Canis lupus familiaris: one gene and its partners. The protein of the gene in region 3 interacts with the protein of the main gene of each other region in a pairwise test. Links are inferred from orthologs where the notes say so. Each region holds a gene or a part of one and is shown on either strand. Other genes may lie near its edges. The genes, in order: UBQLN2, WWP2 and RNF11.

What was found.
Region 1: the proteins of RNF11 (region 3) and UBQLN2 interact in binary tests that used the Homo sapiens proteins (3 or more experiments, as listed by UniProt). The link is inferred for Canis lupus familiaris from reciprocal best matches to the Homo sapiens genes RNF11 and UBQLN2.
Region 2: the proteins of RNF11 (region 3) and WWP2 interact in binary tests that used the Homo sapiens proteins (3 or more experiments, as listed by UniProt). The link is inferred for Canis lupus familiaris from reciprocal best matches to the Homo sapiens genes RNF11 and WWP2.

The regions. Positions count from the first base shown.
Region 1 is NC_049260.1:48,015,371-48,019,124, forward strand, and holds the start of UBQLN2 (ubiquilin-2), read left to right. Parts: upstream 1-1,475; 5' UTR 1,476-1,764; coding exon 1,765-3,636; 3' UTR 3,637-3,754. UniProt on the Homo sapiens protein: Plays an important role in the regulation of different protein degradation mechanisms and pathways including ubiquitin-proteasome system (UPS), autophagy and the endoplasmic reticulum-associated protein degradation (ERAD) pathway.
Region 2 is NC_049226.1:80,386,058-80,389,211, reverse strand, and holds the end of WWP2 (NEDD4-like E3 ubiquitin-protein ligase WWP2), read left to right. Parts: intron 1-116; coding exon 117-189; intron 190-636; coding exon 637-736; 3' UTR 737-2,611; downstream 2,612-3,154. UniProt on the Homo sapiens protein: E3 ubiquitin-protein ligase which accepts ubiquitin from an E2 ubiquitin-conjugating enzyme in the form of a thioester and then directly transfers the ubiquitin to targeted substrates.
Region 3 is NC_049236.1:9,997,962-10,001,188, reverse strand, and holds the end of RNF11 (RING finger protein 11), read left to right. Parts: intron 1-418; coding exon 419-590; 3' UTR 591-2,656; downstream 2,657-3,227. UniProt on the Homo sapiens protein: Essential component of a ubiquitin-editing protein complex, comprising also TNFAIP3, ITCH and TAX1BP1, that ensures the transient nature of inflammatory signaling pathways. Promotes the association of TNFAIP3 to RIPK1 after TNF stimulation.

The DNA of each region.
Region 1 (3,754 bases), on a different chromosome or scaffold from region 3:
ATTAATATATCAGTGCATACACACTTAAAGAGAATTTACCTATACAAACTGTTTAAAAATAGTTTTAAATAAAAATATATTTATTGTATCTTTTGGTCTTTTGGTATTGAAACATATCCTTGAATAATTTCTAACTATCCAGAAATATACAAAGCTGAAAGTGAAAATACTGCTATTTCCCTATAACTACTATTTATTTCATTTTTTAAAAAGATTTTATTTTTTAATTTATTCATGAGAGACACAGAGAGAGGCAGAGACATAGGCAGAGGGAGAAGCAGGCTCCCTGTAAGGAACCCAATGCAGAACTTGATCCTAGGACCCTGGGATCATGCCCTTAGCAGAAGGCAGATACTCAATTGCTGAGCTACCCAGGGATCCCTATTTAATGCATATCTTTATACTTTATATCAGGTGAATTAATCACCGATTTTTTACACAAAGTATTTTATTATGTGGTAATATCATAATATATTTTATCAACCCTGTGTAAGCACACTGATTATCTTTATTTTTTTATTTTTTAAAGATTTTATTTATTTATTCATGAGAGACAGAGAGAGAGAGAGAGGAGAGACACAGGCAGAGAGAAGCAGGCTCCTTGCAGGGATCCCGACAGGGGACTCGATACTGGCACCTCAAGCCCTGAGTCAAAGGCAAACGCTCAACTGCTGAGCCACCCAGGCATCCCTGATTATCTTTAAAAATAATTTTAAGATGCTGCAGTGCATATACATCTTATACATATATATTTTTGCATCCTTATCTACTTTCATAGAAGTGTCTAAAGAAGGTATTTCTAAATAAAAATGGAAATATTTAAAATGTTGATACATATTTTCAAATTGCCTTACACTTATAACAATTTACACTTCAACTGATAAGAGTGCATTTTCTCAGCTCACTGATGATAAGGTTTATCATTATTTTCCTTTTTCCAATATGATAAAGCAGAAGTAGAATCTCACTATCTTAATTGAATTTCTTTGATTACTAGTAAGCTTAAGCATCCATTTTTATGCTCATTGGCCATTTGGGTTTCTTTTGTAAAATGCATGCTCTGGCCCAGTCTGCTCCCCTTCCCCCACTCTGGCTGTTAGTCTTTTCCTTTTGCTTAGTCAGAGTTCTTTTTCATTTTTCGTCTTTTACATGGGGTGAGTTTGATTCAGGCTTTCATCCTTTCTTGCCTGACAGACTTTATATATATTTTTATATATAATATATTCTACATGGGTCTTTTAATGTCCTCAGAAGCTAGCTCCTTTTCTCTCTCCCTTCCTCCTTCCCTCTCTTTTGTCTTCTCTGTTCTCTTTGTTTCTTTCTGTCTTTGTTTTTCTCTCTCTCCCTCTCTCTTTATTTTTTCCAGTACAGAAGTTTTTAATTTTGAACGAGTCGAATCTATCATTTTCGGCCTGGCGCCGCGTCAGCAGAGGGGGCGGGGAGGCGAGCGCGGAACTGGGGGAGGGGACAGGGCGGGGAGGAGCGGGCAGAGCAGCTGCAGGAGTTGCTGGGAGCGCGCGCGGTGCGATCACTCGGCGTCGGAGGAGGCCCAGAGACCTGAACGCAGACGCTTCTCCCGCGGCCTACAGCGTCTTCTCCCCACCGGAGGACCAGGAAACCGCAGTTCTCATCACAGAGGTACCGTGCTCTGCGCTCCCCGCCCGGCTCAGCCTGCTGTGGTGGCGCCTCCTTCCTTCCTTCTTCCCTCGCTCTCTTTCTCGCCCGCCCGCGCCTTCTCTGTCTGCCTGCGTCACCGCGGCCGCCATGGCTGAGAACGGCGAGAGTAGCGGCCCCCCGCGCCCCTCCCGCGGCCCTGCCGCGGCCCAAGGCCCTGCCTCTGCCCCGGCCGAGCCCAAAATCATCAAAGTTACTGTGAAGACCCCCAAAGAGAAAGAGGAGTTCGCGGTGCCCGAGAATAGCTCAGTCCAGCAGTTTAAGGAAGCGATTTCAAAACGCTTCAAATCCCAAACCGACCAGCTAGTGTTGATTTTTGCCGGAAAAATCTTAAAAGATCAAGATACCTTGATTCAGCATGGCATCCATGATGGACTGACTGTTCATCTTGTAATTAAAAGCCAGAACCGACCTCAGGGCCAGTCCACACAGCCTAGTAATGCCGCGGGAACTAATACTACCTCCGCGTCGACTCCCAGGAGTAACTCCACATCTGTTTCCACAAATAGCAACCCGTTTGGGCTGGGGAGCTTAGGAGGACTTGCAGGCCTTAGCAGCCTGGGCTTGAGCTCGACCAACTTCTCTGAGCTCCAGAACCAGATGCAGCAGCAGCTCCTGTCCAGCCCTGAGATGATGATTCAAATCATGGAAAATCCCTTTGTTCAGAGCATGCTTTCAAATCCCGATCTAATGAGGCAGCTCATTATGGCCAATCCACAGATGCAGCAGTTGATTCAGAGAAATCCAGAAATCAGTCACCTGCTCAACAACCCAGATATAATGAGACAGACCCTGGAAATTGCCAGGAATCCAGCCATGATGCAAGAGATGATGAGAAATCAAGATTTGGCTCTCAGCAATCTTGAAAGCATCCCAGGTGGCTACAATGCTCTACGACGCATGTACACTGATATTCAAGAACCCATGCTGAATGCTGCACAAGAGCAGTTTGGGGGTAATCCATTTGCCTCGGTGGGAAGCAGTTCCACCTCTGGGGAAGGTACACAACCTTCCCGCACAGAAAATCGAGATCCACTACCCAATCCATGGGCACCACCACCGGCTACCCAGAGTTCTGCAACCACCAGCACAACCTCCAGCAGTGGCAGTGGCTCTGGCAGTAGCTCCAGCAGTGCTACTGGGAACACCGTGGCTGCAGCCAACTATGTTGCCAGCATCTTCAGTACCCCAGGAATGCAGAGCTTGCTGCAACAGATAACTGAAAACCCTCAACTGATCCAGAATATGCTGTCTGCACCCTACATGAGAAGCATGATGCAGTCGCTGAGCCAGAATCCAGATTTAGCTGCACAGATGATGCTGAATAGCCCGGTGTTTACTGCAAATCCTCAGTTGCAGGAGCAGATGCGTCCACAGCTCCCAGCTTTCCTGCAGCAGATGCAGAATCCAGACACACTATCAGCCATGTCAAACCCAAGAGCAATGCAGGCTTTAATGCAGATCCAGCAGGGGCTACAGACATTAGCCACTGAAGCTCCTGGCCTCATTCCAAGCTTCACTCCAGGTGTGGGGGTAGGGGTGCTGGGAACCGCTATAGGCCCTGTAGGCCCAGTCACACCCATAGGCCCCATAGGCCCCATAGTCCCATTTACTCCCATAGGCCCCATTGGGCCCATAGGACCCACCGGCCCTGCAGGCCCTGGCTCTACTGGCTCTGGAGGCCCCCCTGGGCCCACTGTTTCTAGCTCTACACCCACCGAAACCACTAGCCCAACATCAGAATCTGGACCCAACCAGCAGTTCATTCAGCAAATGGTGCAGGCTCTGGCTGGGGCAAGTCCTCCACAGCTGCCGAATCCAGAAGTCAGATTTCAGCAACAACTGGAACAGCTCAACGCAATGGGGTTCTTAAACCGTGAGGCAAACTTGCAGGCTCTAATAGCAACAGGAGGCGACATCAATGCTGCCATTGAAAGGCTGCTGGGCTCCCAGCCATCCTAATTACATTTCTGTACCTTGAAAAAAATGTATCTTATTTTTGATAATGGCTCTTAAATCTTTAAACACACACAAAAACGTGCTTTACTTTCATTTTGATTCTTTTAAATCTAATTATAAG
Region 2 (3,154 bases), on a different chromosome or scaffold from region 3:
GGGCAGTGGCTCGGGTGAGTCAGTGGGTGAGGCCTGAGGCTCCTGTGGGTGGAGCCGGGGCCCTGCCCTACGAAGGGGCCGTCCTTTGTATATGAAGAGCTTCTCTTCGGATACAGGGAGCAACGGACCACAGAAGTTTTGCATCGACAAGGTTGGCAAGGAAACCTGGCTGCCCCGGAGCCACACGTGGTGAGCGTTTTGGTGTTTCTGGGAGGTGGCCAGAACCTCACAGCCCCGACGAGCCCGGCGGGTGGGGCGGCCTCAGGGACTCTGGCAACCTCCTGGGGTTGGAGAAGAGGCGCCCCGAGGCTTTTTGGGAGTTGCGGCAGCAGTTGCTCGCCCTCACCCTCGTGGCCTTCCCAGCTATTAAATATTCCACCGTTTCTGTTCCGGTAAACAGAGGGCTGCCTCCCCCTTTCTCCTACTGCCCTGCCTCCTGACCACCCGAGGTCCAGGGACAGGAAGCATTAAGGCCTCACGTAACAGGGCCCTCAAGGGCTCCACTCTGCCTTCTAGCCCCTTGGCACTGTGGTCAAGCCACAGTCACGTGAATGACTCTGAGCCCTCCCCGCACGGCAGCCAGGCTGGGAGCCCTGACCTCCCTGGGCTGACTGTCCTGCTTCCCTCTCTCAACAGTTTCAACCGTCTGGATCTCCCACCGTACAAGAGCTATGAACAGCTGCGAGAGAAGCTGCTGTACGCCATCGAGGAGACTGAGGGCTTTGGACAGGAGTAACTGAGGCTGCCCCTTCCCACACCCCCCGGCGCACATGTAGTCATGAGTTCTTCCTGCCGGGGAGGCCGGTGGCCACAGAGCTCCCGGGAGGCTCCCCCCACCGCCCCAGGTGGCAGCCGTGCGTGGGACCACACTGTCCTCAGGCTGGTGGTAGCAGAGCCTGACCTCAGGAGGCCTGTCTGCCTCCCCCCACCCCCCCACCGGTGGCAGTCTGGAATAAAGCCCCCATGTCACCTTTGGTCCCGTCACCCACTGCAGAGTCTGGAGGCCTGACCCTCGCAGTCAGCTCTTCCCCCTTCCGCCCCGAGACCAGACCAGCCGTAGGCAGCATGAGAATGTGAGGGGGCGCCCTGTGCCCAGGGCTGCTGCAGGAGGCCTGGTTCTCGTGTGCTAGTGAGGCAGCAGGGAGCCCGGCCACCCACTCAGGCTGGCTCTTCTGGGCCCAGAAGGCCCAGGGTCTTTGCCAGTCAAGGACGTTCTGTTTTTGATAGAACTTTTCCAGTGATCTGTATACGATGGAGGTCTGAGGGAGAGGACGTCTTCCCGCACCCGGAGAGAGCACTGGGTCTGGGCGGCCACTCCCTGTCCCAGGGGGATCCAGCCCCCGAGGCTGAGCGGTGAAGCCCATCTCTGCACTCAGTGCGGGACCCTTTGTCCTTTCCTGCAAATAAAGTGTTGTACCAGCTGCTAGGGTGGCAGCGGCTTGGAAACAACAAACCCCCTCAGACTTTCTTTGCCCTTTCACATCAACTCGAAGCATTCTGTGTGTAGGGTGACTTTGTGTTTTGATGTCGGTGTGCTGCTATCCCTTTGTGTCCAGGAGCTGGTATGCCAGGTGTCGCTGGGACCTTGAGGGATCTGGCACCAGTGGTCCAAGGACTTCCCCAACAGCTGCTCCTCTTAGGAACCCGCTTAGCAGTTCTGGGAGCTCAGGCGGGCCTTGCCCTGCAGCCCAGCCTCCCAGTGGCCCAGTCTCCAAGCCTTGACAGAGGGGAGGGGGGGAGGGTCCCAGGTGTCACCCAACCTTTGATGGAGAACTCCCATTGCTAGATGTAGTTTCTAGGCAGCCCCAAGTGATGGAGCATGTGGGGGTGGGTGACCCTGTCACTCTGTCACTCTCCAGTGGCCCTTAAGGCTTCAGGCAGGTCCGTTAGTCTCCTGTTGAGAATTCAGTGTGTCCCAGCCACCCTAGGGCATGTCCATCCTGCCTGGAAGGGCGGCTTTATCTGGACACGGAAGGTGACGGTCTTGGAGACCAGCAGAACGGAGTTCCCACCAGCCTCCGACATGGGCATTCCGTGGCGTGCGGCGATCGGCAAGCAGAACATGCTCCTCTGGGATGCTGGAGGGGTTGCTCAAGCTCTCCAGTCTGGGCCCTCGGGCTCCAGCCCTGAGCACCGACGACAGACTAGCTTGAGCCTCCTAGGACCCTAGGCAGGCCCACTGACCTCTGTAGGGCAGTGTCACATCCCCAGATCCTGGTCCTTCCTTCCCCCCACTCCCCCCCACCCCCGGGCCACAGAGGGAGGGAGAGCCTGTGTCCACTGTGTTGCATTTGCTGATTTGAGTGGCTCAGCTCACTGGAGCTCAACCTTTTTTCTTTTCCTCGAGTCATTTGCTGTGCTTCCCTGCAATATTCCACACTACTGGGGGGTTGGGGTACCAGCTGCTGTGTGGGGTCTGGAAACCCGCGACTCATGGCTGTTCAGAGTGTGTTCATGTGTGTGTGTGCGTGTGTACATACATGTATGTAACCGAGGTGTCGTGTAGAATGTCCTTTGGTAGCTCTGGGTTGGTTGACAGATGGTTTTGTGATACTTAACCCCCTTGCCTTGGTATTGCCAGTTTCTCGTGCAATAAACAATCAGCAGCTGTGGGTGGTGTTGGCGTGGATGTCTGCAAAATCGCTGTCCTCAGATGAGAGGCCTCTGGGTGCCCCAAACCCTTCAGGCAGGCCCCCATTGGGGTGGAAGTTCCGTGACTTGCTGCTTTTAGGAATGTGTAACTGAGACAGTCATATTACTTCTGGCTGGCTGAGTCCCTGTGCAGGGATCTCTGGGGTGGCTCTTGGTCAGGGTTTCCTCACTGCACCCTTTGGACGCCAGGCCAGTCTTTCTATGTCTATGAACAGTTGTCGCTGCGGAGCCAGAATACGAACAGCTGTGGCTGCAGGTTGGGTGGGTTTTGGAAGCCAGCTCCTGGGGACAGTGTCTAGGCAGTCGTTCATTGGAGAAACATTTACTGAGTCCCATGATGATAGAGGGATGCTATGATCTCAAGCTAAATCATCACATAAGGTCTTGCCACCCACTTTTTTTGAACACTTAAGGATTCAGATGGGATGGATCACCATGCTATGGTGTCTTGATGCACAGGACATGGAAATGACGTTTGCCAAGCCTTGTCCTGATTGTGCCT
Region 3 (3,227 bases):
AGTTATTAAAATGAAAACTGTCTTACTCCTGGGTGTACATTAAAAACTGAGTTCATGTAAACAGAGTTGATCTGATGGCTTCCTACCTGAAGCATCACATTCTTTGGGTGTCTTGTATAATATGTAGCTATTTTACAAGTGCAGTTCTAGGAATGGACCTGATCCCCACGTGGCCCATTTCTCTTTGCTCTGTTGATAGCTCTCAAACCCATGAATTTCCAGCGGATCAAAATGAGAGATTGCTGATGGATTAATGCTTATTAGGAAAAATCAGTTTGCATGCTTTGGTAGGATGACAAGCAAGCCATTTTCATCTGTTCGGATTAACAGTCTTTGTAATGGGATTTTAAAGAGTATTCTAGATACATCACTTCTCTAAAAAATGCTTTCTGATTTCTCTCTCCCTCACCCCCAACAGGTGTGTTATCTGTATGATGGACTTTGTTTATGGGGACCCAATTCGATTTCTGCCGTGCATGCACATCTATCACCTGGACTGTATAGATGACTGGTTGATGAGATCCTTCACGTGCCCCTCTTGCATGGAGCCAGTTGATGCAGCACTGCTTTCGTCCTACGAGACTAATTGAGCCAGGGTCTCTGGTCTGACTTCAAGTGAACCATCATTTTTTGGTGGTTTTGATCTTTTGTCACTGAGCCCAAAGAGTCAGGGATTAGGAATTAAGATCATGCACAAAAGTTTCCTAAAAATTCCTGAATGGCTGCAGATGTTGGGGAAAAAAATATGTGATATTTTAGAAACTTAGGGGGAAAAGTAGGATGGTATTTTTATGTAAAGCCTTGACCCAGTGTTTAAAAATATAATTGTATTTAGATCTTGTTATGCTCCAGTACATAGGAATTGTGTAAAGTGTTACAGCAGCTGTATATGTTTAAATTGTGTGTGTTGAAGATTAGGAAAAAGATAGTGGTTGTTTTTCCTAAATGAAATAACTCTCTTTTTCCCCCCCACCCAAATTCTTTTCTGAAGTTGCTGGCATTTGGGTCAAGGTTTTATTAAAAGCTACATTTTATAACACTGGCACAAAAAAAAAGTAGTTTTAAGCTTGTTTGCACAGTTCTTTTTTTCCATTGGAAATGGAATTCATTGCCTTAGGTCTTTTTAAATAGTGTATTATTATCGTTGGGGCTGGCTCTATGCTTGAAAACCAGTTTATTTATAACCTGTTATAAGTGCTATATCTGTTTGCAGTTAGGAAATGCAGAATTCAAAGTGATCTCCTAGCTTGTAAGCAAACTGAGATGCACTATCCCTTTTCTATAAACACTGAGTTAATGTCAAGAAACCAACTCTAGTAAAGTGGGGTTTACTGTTACCCTTTCCTGTGTGTTTTATCTAATTACTTTGGTTGTTAATATGGTAATAATTAAAAGTCAAGGTAAATTTTAAATATTAAGATTTCTGATTTATGGAGCTTGAATTATGCCACCATGCTTATGTAAAATGAAAGTGGCACCATGGTGAAACTGAGAAAAGTTGCTCAGTTCTAACAGTTTTGATTTATTCTTTCTTGCGACCTCCTTCCCTTATTGTCTTGAACCATAGCAAAAGGATACTGCATCTCTTATTATTGTAGTGCTGAGGTTATTGAAGTTATATAAAACACATCTCAGTCTGTTTCTTTGAAAGGAAAAGTCCTGCTGGCTGACAAGTCTAAGCAGGGAGAATTAAGATAAACGTATTCATGTTTTGCACACAAACGCAGAATTTGTATAACCATATGACTTCATAGTTGTGATCTCAAAGAGGGAATTTCTCCTTTATCTTTCTTGCAGTTAATGTAAGAACACTCTGAATCTCTAAGCTTCTGAAGTGTTAGAGGTGTTAGAGGTATAGATGGTTTAGTAAAGATGTAGTTTGTAATGTTTTATCCATTTAGCATGTGTTTATTTTTCCTTATGTACTCAGAGGTGACTTATTTGTTCAGCTCAGTGATATTATACAGCTAAGTATATCATTCATTAGCAAAAGGAGAAGCAATCTCAATCTAACATCAGAAATGTTTATTTAATATTGAGTTGAATATTTGACTCTAACACTTTTCTACATACAAAACACAAGTATCTTGAGGGTTCTTCAAAATTGCATTGTAGAGGAATTCAGTATGTCATAAATACTTAAAGATTTGACACTAGACTGTAGTATCCATATGTTGGTTAATTTTCTTATGAGCCCCATGATGGAAAGACTTAAAGATGAATTTGAGAAAAACTGAAAATTAGATTATCAGGTTCTGTTAAATTGTTACATGTATCTTGCTTAAGTTTTTGTTCATTAATTTATATCCACTCAATTACATAAAGCAAATTTGGAGGAAACACCTGAAGTTGTGCAATATTTTCATAGATATTACTTTTTTTATCCTTGTGTTTTCTACTTATACATGTCTGACTTTCCTTTTTTCTAGATTGTTAAAATTGGTAAGTGAACTTTTAAAAACTAATGTTGCTGTTAGTCTTTATTGCAAGGCTTCTTTCACAGAAGTTTGGCAGTAATAGTGAAGGAACTAGAATTGAGCTGAAAAAAAATTTTTAAGGTACTTTGTATTCTTTAATTTTGATTTCCATACACCATGTTAAGAACTATCAATTTTGGCTTTTACTAAGTTAAATAAAGTTATAATACAGTTGTAAAGGGCTACAGTTAGAGTTGTTTACGTAAGAATATTCCCCAAATTATCTAATCCTTTCTTTTAAATGGTGTATAATTTTAATCTCTAAGTTTATAAACTTGGGAAGTATTTTTTATGTGGCATTTAATACCATCTAATCATAAATTTAGAAGCTTGATAGCTTCAGATTTTCTGAAGCCAAATAATAGGTGCAACATTTCGATTTAGGGAAGATGCATTCAAGGTTGGCTATAGGATTTGAAATGTCTGAAAAGCCTGACCAGGAAAAAGTAAAAGAAATCTTAAGTGTAAACCTAGAAGTTAGTTGAAATACTTCGGTTCACAAAAACCTTTTCAATTCTGAGTGTTCTTTATAGAGAATGTCTTAAACCAGGAAAAGATTTCCTCCTGTTGGTGTCCCCTACATAAGCCCGTATGATTTTACAGAGTACGGTGAGCATTGGGCTAACTTTCTTTGCACACAAAGCCTGGTCATAAGGAAGCACATATTTTACAAAGGAATAATAGTCAAAAGCAGACCTGCCTAGATTTCTGAGACTGAAATGGTAAGCAGTGAAGAAGGTAAGTTTCTTT